Saccharomyces cerevisiae S288C: one gene and its partners. The protein of the gene in region 1 purifies or fractionates together with the protein of each later gene. This does not show direct contact. Each region holds a gene or a part of one and is shown in the gene's direction. Other genes may lie near its edges. The genes, in order: EHD3, RSM25 and AIM23.

Region 1 (3,856 bases):
ACCAATTTCGTAAACACGATCCAAACCACCGACAACCAATTGTTTCAAGAACAATTCTGGAGCAATTCTCATGTACATGTCCATATCAAGGTCATTATGGTGGGTAATAAATGGCTTAGCGGTAGCACCACCAGCAATAACGTTCATCATTGGAGTTTCTACTTCAATAAACTTTCTTTGGTCCAAAAATCTTCTGATGTAACGGATAATTTCAGAACGGGTAATAAAACGGTTTCTGGCGTCTTTGTTCATGATCAAATCCAAATAACGCTTTCTGTATCTGGTTTCCTGGTCTTTGAAACCAAAGTGGTCGGCAGGTAACATGTGCAAACATGGTGTCAATAATTGCACTCTGCTAACGAAGACGGAAACTTCACCTTCACCACCTTTCTTTGGTTGAGTTCTTCCGACGTAACCCTCGACACCAACGATATCACCCCTTTTCAAAAGGTCGTGATCCTTTTCGTAAGAGTCTGGGTCGCAGTAGTCCTGCAATTGGGACATCAATTGAACTTCAACACCATCACCGTGAAGAACATAGAATTTCAATTTGGAGCCAGATTCTCTTTTGGCATGAATTCTACCAGCAATTGAAACCTTCTCTTCAGGTAAGGTTTCACCTTTTTTCAAATGCGCATATTTGGCCAAGAACTCAGGATTGGATATAGAAACGTGAAACTTGTGTGGGTATGGATTTGGTTCGTGAGTCTTTCTCAATTCTTGAATTTGGCGAGATCTTGTTTCGAAATATTGCGATGGATCCAGGTCAGCGAACAAATCTGTTTTTTTTTTGGAAGCCGGTTTTGGTTGAGCGGCAGCCTTTTTGGCGGCCTTTTTAGCTTCGACTTGTCTTTGCTTGATACGCTTCTTCAATTCAGACTTGGAGACCATTTCCCCGGTAGCTTCGTCGAGATGTAGGTTAGCAACACCTTCAGCGGCGGCTTTGACATTATCTTGTTGAGACATTATGCTATTGAAGTTTATTACGGATTTCTCGGAGGAAGGACAGAGCAATAAATCAATGTATGTAAGATAATTATACTTTTCTTTCTAAACAAAAAAGTGGCTGTATATATAACTTCGAAGTTCATTAAGAGTCATTTCATCATTCATCGATAATTCAAGCTAAAAAAAAAAGAAAAAAAAAAAGAAAAGCGCCGAAAAAAATTCAAATGGCAAATATTTTCACAACACCCATACACTACACCAAAAATATTCCTACATCACTAATGCCATTAGCATTCCATAAACTACTAACCAACAACTAGAACAGAACTTGATCTATTGTGCTCATGGGTCGGAGAAGCTCGCCTTATCCGCATCGTTTCCTGGGTTAATAGAAAGGTTTTTTGAATTCTTAAACATGTAATATCTCAAAACTAACACTTAAACATTATGCCGAAGAGAACAGTCCCTAACCCATTTGTAGTAAGCAGCCTTACAGGATTCCAAGGATTCAGCCAGCCAAACTGACCCATTGCGTTTTCTACCAATCTTCTCTTGTTTAGTAACACAATCCGGGTCACCCTTCGGAACTTCGGAATTGGAGAGGCAAGTGCAAAGAAAAGTGTTAAACCTCGGAGCCAAATGATTGATGAGGTAGCCGAGAAGATAAGAGCAGCTTGTTTCCTGCGCCTGTGTACGGGAATCCTCATTTATATAATACTTGGTTCTGTTTAGCCACCACAAATAATGCTCAGAAATACGCTAAAATGTGCCCAATTGTCGTCTAAATACGGATTTAAAACTACCACACGTACATTCATGACTACTCAACCCCAGCTAAATGTCACCGACGCACCACCTGTGCTATTTACCGTTCAAGATACAGCTAGAGTTATCACGCTAAATAGGCCCAAAAAGCTCAATGCTTTGAACGCCGAAATGTCAGAATCCATGTTCAAGACTTTGAACGAGTATGCAAAGAGCGATACTACAAACTTAGTCATTTTAAAGTCATCCAACCGACCACGTTCGTTCTGTGCTGGTGGTGATGTAGCTACTGTGGCAATATTCAATTTTAACAAAGAATTTGCCAAGTCCATCAAATTTTTTACTGATGAATATTCTTTGAATTTTCAAATAGCAACTTACTTGAAACCAATTGTTACCTTCATGGACGGTATCACCATGGGTGGCGGCGTTGGTCTATCCATTCACACGCCCTTTAGAATTGCTACAGAAAACACCAAATGGGCCATGCCCGAGATGGACATTGGTTTTTTTCCAGATGTAGGCTCAACTTTTGCTCTCCCTAGAATCGTGACATTGGCTAACTCAAACTCACAAATGGCCCTGTATCTATGTCTTACAGGAGAAGTAGTCACAGGAGCAGACGCTTATATGCTCGGCTTAGCGTCTCATTACGTCAGTAGTGAAAATTTAGATGCTTTGCAGAAAAGATTAGGTGAAATTAGCCCCCCTTTTAATAACGATCCACAATCTGCATACTTCTTCGGGATGGTTAACGAATCCATCGACGAATTCGTATCACCATTACCAAAAGATTATGTTTTCAAGTATTCTAACGAGAAATTAAACGTTATTGAAGCCTGTTTTAACTTGTCTAAAAATGGTACTATTGAAGACATAATGAATAACTTACGTCAATATGAAGGTTCTGCGGAAGGTAAGGCTTTCGCACAAGAAATCAAAACGAAATTGTTAACCAAGTCACCATCCTCTCTTCAAATCGCCTTGAGATTGGTGCAAGAGAATTCCAGAGATCACATAGAATCTGCTATCAAAAGAGACTTATACACAGCAGCTAACATGTGCATGAACCAGGACTCTTTGGTGGAATTCTCTGAAGCCACAAAGCATAAACTTATTGATAAACAAAGGGTCCCGTATCCATGGACAAAGAAGGAACAGTTATTTGTATCTCAGTTGACATCTATCACATCTCCTAAACCATCGCTACCAATGTCATTACTAAGAAATACCTCGAATGTTACTTGGACTCAATATCCCTACCATTCTAAATACCAATTGCCTACAGAACAGGAAATCGCTGCGTATATTGAAAAGAGAACGAATGATGACACTGGCGCCAAAGTTACCGAAAGAGAAGTACTAAATCACTTTGCCAATGTGATTCCTTCTAGAAGAGGGAAACTGGGTATCCAATCGCTATGTAAAATTGTTTGTGAAAGAAAATGTGAAGAAGTTAACGATGGCTTAAGATGGAAATAAAACCTGAAATAGCAGCCCCGTGGCTCGTAAAGAATTTTGCCAACACTTCTATGCATGTAAATAATAAAAGTAAAACATAACGCTATATTTGTATATGGATGTTTATTTAATGATACATAGAAAACTGTCATTTTCTTTCTCTTTTCTTATAAGTATTTTTTTTTATAAAAGGCAAAAAAAAAAAAGTTTGAATGTAATAAATATGGTTCAGAAAGAAATTACAATAAATCAAAAGTTTTGAGTATCATTCAAGATTATTTGCATTTTTCCCTCATTTACAGGCTATTTTTTCAAGGCCTTTCTTCTGTTTCTAACACCTTCTGCCAATAGCTCCAATACCTGTTCGGTGGACTCCCAGCCAATACAAGCATCCGTAACAGAACAACCATACTTCAATCCCTCTCTGCCACCTTCTTTGGGAATATCTTGTCTACCTTCATTTATGTTGGACTCAATCATAACACCACAGAGACTATTCTCACCCTCCGTCAGCTGGTCATAAATACATTTGGCAACCTTTGGTTGGTTCTTGAAATCTTTATTACTGTTGCCGTGGGAACAATCGATCATAATTCTTTTCTGGGAATCATCAGTCAAACCGGCCTTTTCTAACTGTTTCTTAGTATTTTGAACACTTTCTTTGTCAAAGTTAGTACCGTTC
Region 2 (3,044 bases), on another chromosome or scaffold:
ATCTTTGTGCCCTGAATTTCAGCGTTTTTTTGAAATATATTTGATGTTATAGGTTGTAGTGAGTTTTTCTTGACGGCGCAGCACCTCTCATTCAAAGAACGTGAGTTTCCATCCATACGTTCATCATAAGTTGTAGTTTCCTCCTTCGTGCCTAAAACTTCATCATTAATTAGGTCAATATTAATTGTGCCTGTAACCAAACTGCCGCTATTCAAAATCGATATTGGCTCCACTGCACATTGTTGAGATTTACTGTTTTTAAGATTCGTATGGAGATCGCTTAAATTGGTGTGTCCATTTTTTGATGTGTATGCATTGGCAGAAACATTCCTAGATGTAAGAATATTCTTTTCCTCATCCATGACAAGAAAGAGCCGCATTCCAGGTTCATTTTGTTTCCGACGTTTAGGATCGGGTATGTGTTGACTGTTCTTATCAAAGTAATTTTTCTTATCACTCTTTTCAATAACCTTATTCTTACTTATAGTTTTAGTATTCGATAATTTGCTAACGATAGCAGTATTCTTACTCTTTGGAGTACAAATGTCGGAATCCCTCGTATTTTTATACCGGTATTTTTTATGATTAGATGCTCTCTTCGCAAATTCACAGGCAGTTATCAATAGTGCTAAATTCAAAGTCATTGGGAATGCACAATTTTCCAGTTGCTTTTGCAACTGTGGCTCCAATTTTGTGAGGAATAGATCCAACGCAGCACCAGAAGACAGATAATATGGAGTTAGACGTCCCGATTTATGGGCAAATGCTTCTAATGACTTCTCAGAATCAATGGACAACGTCAATAGTTCCGTAAAAATTTCCCTTCTTAAAGATCTTGCTCCATCAAATTCTTCTGATAGTAGAGCAAGAAATTTTTCAAAACTGTAAGCCTTTATCACATGGTCATCGATTCCCTCCGTTGTAGAATCAAACCATGTCTTAGCCCGGCCGGATAATGCAGAGCTTATAAGAAGTTTCAAAAACGTTCCTGTACAGCATAGTCCAAATAAGATATCTGTAATATCATCGGCCCATTGGACGAATATATTGTTATCATCACCGTCTTCAGCACTGAATTTTTTCAGATGACTCACTTTATCTAGCATTTTGAACGCTTGTTCATCGTCATCAATCTGTCTTGTAACACAAAAATTATTACACGCTATGGGCAAAGTTTCGCTCCTCTTTCTACGTCCACTGTGTCCCTTCTTGCTTCGCGGCGGCAGGGTATTTCCATTAGCTATTGTATCACTATAGTTATTAGTTCCCGACTCGTATGCCATGTTTTTGGATCTCATTTGCACCATTAAGCAAAAAGAATCTGTTGAACGAGGACCCTAACCCAAGACAGCTAATATACTGCTTTTTTATGACATTTTTCATTTGGTCTTCATTCTTGCGCATCTTCTTTGAGAGTTGAAATTTCTTTGATACTTCGGCAATTACAGAAAAGTGCAAGTTACAAGCAATAAAACCAATAATATTTAGATACTGCACAAAAGTCTAAGAAAATAACCTCATTAGAAGCTTGGAAAAGGAAGAAGGACATTGCGCACCATTCAAGAAGAAGATCTTAGAATTCTGAGAAATGAAGATACAAACAAATGCTGTAAACGTCCTTCAACGGACGTCCGCTTACTTGAAATCAGGATTGTTGAAAGAAACACCTGCGTGGTACAACGTTGTAGCGTCTATCCCACCATCAACCAAGTTTACACGTGAACCTCGTTTTAAGAATCCTTCCAATGGACACATCATAGGAAAACTTGTTGACGTAACAGAACAACCGCATGCCAACAATAAGGGACTTTACAAGACAAGACCCAACTCGAGCGACAAAAGGGTGGGCGTGAAAAGGCTGTACAGGCCACCTAAACTAACATACGTTGAGGATAGGCTCAGATCGCTCTTTTACAAACAACATCCATGGGAGTTGTCGAGACCTAAGATTTTAGTGGAAAACGAAATTGGTGATGAAAACTACGATTGGAGCCATATGCTTCAGATAGGAAGACCACTCGATGGTGAAAGTGTTATCCAGCGAACTATGTACTTAATCAAAACGAAGCAGTATGGGGACATGGTCGAAGCATATGACCATGCCAGATATGAATTCTATGCGTTGAGAATGCAAGAAGAAACAGAGCAGCAAGTGGCTTTGGAAGAAGCGGAGATGTTCGGATCCCTCTTTGGAGTTTCTGCCATTGAACATGGTATACAAAAGGAACAAGAGGTCCTAGACGTCTGGGAAAAGAAGGTAGTTGAAGAAACTGAACTAATGGCAGCAAGGACAAGTAACCCTGCAGGGTCGTGGAAGGACGACACTACATTGAATACGGCGCAAGAAGAAGAATCCACCACTTCCGAGAACCTCCACTTCTAGGTGGGCTGCCTCTTTTCTCCAACGTCACCTAACCAACCTGTATATAATTAAAAACAAACGAGAACAACACATGTAGTGCTAAGTAATTGTCGTTCTCAAATTCCACCTCGATTTTTTCAACTGCACTGAAAATTCCCACTCTTTTTTTTTTTTTTTTTTTTTTTTTTCACTTTTTTCCCGTGGAAAAATATTCTTAAGATGACTCTAATTAGAGGAAAGAACAACAAGAAACTAAACTGGTTCTACAGTTATATAAGGACATCTTAACTGATTTAGAATTAGCTAAGACTGTATCTATGCGATTATTATATTAGTGCGACATATTTATATAACTAAGATAGTAACGCACTCAAAAAGATGTTTAGATCTGTTGCTACTAGATTATCTGCCTGCCGTGGGTTAGCATCTAACGCTGCTCGCAAATCACTCACTATTGGTCTTATCCCCGGTGACGGTATCGGTAAGGAAGTCATTCCTGCTGGTAAGCAAGTTTTGGAAAACCTTAACTCCAAGCACGGCCTAAGCTTCAACTTTATTGATCTCTACGCCGGTTTCCAAACATTCCAAGAAACAGGAAAGGCGTTGCCTGATGAGACTGTTAAAGTGTTGAAGGAACAATGTCAAGGTGCTCTTTTCGGTGCAGTTCAGTCTCCAACTACTA
Region 3 (3,253 bases), on another chromosome or scaffold:
TGAACGGTGGTATTGAGCGTGTTGTCTATAATGGCGAAACATTAGTTTTGAGCGGTGAATTAGTTTCACCAGGCGCCAAAGGAAAATGCATTGTTAATCCAAGTCCAGCTTCCATAACTGCTTCCGCAGAGCTCCAATCTACTAGTGCTAAAAGAAGGTTCTCGATCACGGAAGAAGCAATCGCTGATAATTTAGATGCCGCGGAGGATGCAATTCCAGAACAGCCTTTGGAACAAAAATTGATGTCTTCAAGGCCACCAAGAGAACTTGTTGCTCCAGGCGCCATCCAGAATTTGATCCGTAGTAACAATCCATTCCGCGGAAGACATATATTGTCTATCAAACAATTCAAACGTTCTGATTTCCATGTGTTGTTTGCTGTTGCACAAGAACTAAGGGCAGCTGTCGCAAGAGAAGGTGTCTTAGATTTAATGAAAGGCCACGTTATTACTACAATTTTCTTTGAACCATCTACTCGTACTTGTTCTTCATTCATTGCTGCTATGGAACGTTTGGGTGGTAGAATTGTAAATGTTAATCCATTGGTGTCTTCTGTCAAGAAAGGTGAAACCCTTCAAGATACTATCAGAACTTTGGCTTGTTACAGTGATGCCATTGTCATGCGTCATTCAGAAGAAATGTCTGTTCATATCGCCGCTAAATATTCTCCTGTTCCAATTATTAATGGTGGTAATGGTTCTCGCGAGCATCCTACGCAGGCCTTCTTGGATTTGTTTACGATTCGTGAAGAAATCGGTACTGTTAATGGTATTACTGTTACTTTCATGGGTGATCTCAAACATGGTAGAACCGTACATTCATTGTGTCGTTTGTTAATGCACTATCAAGTCAGAATTAATCTTGTTTCTCCTCCGGAATTGAGGTTACCAGAAGGATTAAGAGAAGAGCTAAGAAAAGCTGGCTTACTTGGTGTTGAGAGCATTGAATTAACCCCTCATATCATCTCAAAGACCGATGTTCTGTATTGTACAAGGGTCCAAGAAGAAAGATTCAATAGCCCTGAAGAATATGCACGTCTGAAGGATACTTATATCGTGGACAACAAGATCTTGGCACACGCCAAAGAAAATATGGCTATCATGCATCCATTGCCTCGTGTAAATGAAATCAAAGAGGAAGTGGACTACGATCATCGTGCTGCTTACTTCAGACAAATGAAGTATGGTTTGTTCGTCAGAATGGCTTTGTTGGCCATGGTCATGGGTGTTGATATGTGAATGATAAGAGACCTATCCGTATTTTAAATTTATAATCTATTATTAAACTTTTTTAACCAATATTTTTATTTGTATATTACACTCAATAATATGATTTCCCAAAGTCGAGTTTTTATTTAAAACAAAAGATGGAATGATTTTGTAAACAAATTTTCTTGAGGAAACAAAAAATGTTTAAGGCATAGGAGTTGAAGGTAATCTCGTTCCTTTTGTCTAGTTTTCATCCTGAGCTCTTGAATTTTACCTGAATTTTCCCGCGACGGTAAGAACTTTAAGGGTCTAAAAAAGTAAGTTCAGAAAACTATAACAGCTATATATCACAAAATGCATACCTGATGCATACACAGTAAGGAGGTAACATCAGGTCCGTGGATATGTTAAAAGTTCCTTTGAGTGATGTTCTTTCACAGAAGATGCTGTTTTTAAAAAGTTTTAGATATTTTCATTGCACAAAATACTTCAGCAGAGACAATGCATCATCTACCACAGATATATTTCGCAACGCAATGAAACGTAAACGTGAGCTGGCAAATCTTAAAGAGCAAAGTCATGGAAATGTGGCAAGAAATGCTGCTTTTCCTAAAGAGTATATTAAGCGCCCGAAACAAGTGCCAAGGAATGCTACTAACAGGAAAAAAATCCTGATTACTTGGAGCACCGGGACAGATCGAGCTAAAGAGGCAGCTAATTCAGTTGTTAGTGAGATATTCAAAAAAAATCACAAGGGAAACATCAAAGTTGTGGATCCCACTACCCACCGAATTGAAGCATCCAATATTCGGTATTTTGCCAAGGGCATTGATCTCGATAAAGTTGGACTCAGTATTGTTAATGTAGAGCAAATCGATAATGAAAATCAAATTCCACTTGTTAAGATAGTCGAAAGTCGTGTAGCCTTAAAAAAATATTCAGACTTTCTGGCTAAAAAAAAGGAAAAGGAACTGATGGAATTGGGAGTACTGAATAAGTCTTACAAGAATTTGGTGACTGATAAAAAAGAAGATAACTTGAAGCATATTAAAATATCATGGCAGATTGAAAGCGATGATTTAAAAAGGCAGAAGGCTCACGAAATAGTTTCGCTATTGAAAAAAGGGAATAAAGTAACGTTATATCTTGATGACAAGAATAACATAAATTCAAACAATTGGCTTGAAAATTTTGAGGAGCTGGACCGCTCTCAAAAAGGTGAACCACCCAGGCTACCAGAATCAGTTTTCCAGAAAAGAGCTGCTGTCTTGGAGACATTGAAAGAGATAGTTAGCGAATATGCTAATGATCCTGTTCTGCTAGGTAACATGAACTCGAAAATGATAATGAAACTTATACCAAAGGACGTTAAACCACAAAACAACGATAAGAGGGCGTTAAAGGAATTGAGAAAGAAGGAGAGGCAAGAAAAATTGCAAAAAAGGATTCAGAGAAAAAAAATGAATGAAATGTAAATAGAAGCAAATGACATCAGAATATATATAGCGCATATTGCCAAATATGCTTTTCAAGTATTAAATTAATGTAATTGAACTAAACCGATGCTTGTACATAATAACTTATCATTAAAGTACCAGGATTCTACCGGTTAGCTGCATGTGATCAAAATTTCCATACCCATATTGGGGAATGCCTACTATAAGGTGATTTTGGGGACCCAAAATCATGCTATTACCAAAATTTGACACACCCTTGCTACTTTTGTCAGGATTTATGAGCATGAGATGCCTTAAATTATTAATCAAAAGGGTTTTGCGCTTCGGATCGTTTCCCGCCTTTAATAGCTCATCCATACTAATTTTCCATATACTTCCTCTTGCATCGAAACTGCCTGGGGAGGAAACGTACAATTTCTTTTCTTCGTCATTAAACAGCAAAGATGAACCAAACTCATCCGGGATTGAATCTGATTTTGTCTTAATCTTTAGAACCAGTTTTAAGAAAAACTCTATTTGCCCAGACTTCTCAATATATATAAACACAGTGTCAAACATTGGTTGAGATACGGCTACAAAACTCATACC

What was found.
Region 2: the proteins of EHD3 (region 1) and RSM25 purify together in Saccharomyces cerevisiae (affinity purification with mass spectrometry, with the first as the bait; 4 studies listed by BioGRID). This does not show direct contact.
Region 3: the proteins of EHD3 (region 1) and AIM23 purify together in Saccharomyces cerevisiae (affinity purification with mass spectrometry, with the first as the bait; 2 studies listed by BioGRID). This does not show direct contact.

Annotation. Positions count from the first base shown.
Region 1 is NC_001136.10:522,550-526,405, reverse strand, and holds EHD3 (mitochondrial 37S ribosomal protein mS47 EHD3), read left to right. Parts: upstream 1-1,692; coding exon 1,693-3,195; downstream 3,196-3,856. Other genes in the region: lysine--tRNA ligase KRS1, read right to left, coding at 1-966; 3-deoxy-7-phosphoheptulonate synthase ARO3, read right to left, coding at 3,478-3,856.
Region 2 is NC_001141.2:187,329-190,372, reverse strand, and holds RSM25 (mitochondrial 37S ribosomal protein mS23 RSM25), read left to right. Parts: upstream 1-1,588; coding exon 1,589-2,383; downstream 2,384-3,044. Other genes in the region: YIL092W (uncharacterized protein), read right to left, coding at 1-1,307; LYS12 (homoisocitrate dehydrogenase), read left to right, coding at 2,741-3,044. UniProt on the Saccharomyces cerevisiae protein: Component of the mitochondrial ribosome (mitoribosome), a dedicated translation machinery responsible for the synthesis of mitochondrial genome-encoded proteins, including at least some of the essential transmembrane subunits of the mitochondrial respiratory chain.
Region 3 is NC_001142.9:163,708-166,960, reverse strand, and holds AIM23 (Aim23p), read left to right. Parts: upstream 1-1,612; coding exon 1,613-2,683; downstream 2,684-3,253. Other genes in the region: URA2 (bifunctional carbamoylphosphate synthetase/aspartate transcarbamylase), read left to right, coding at 1-1,238; YJL132W (uncharacterized protein), read right to left, coding at 2,795-3,253.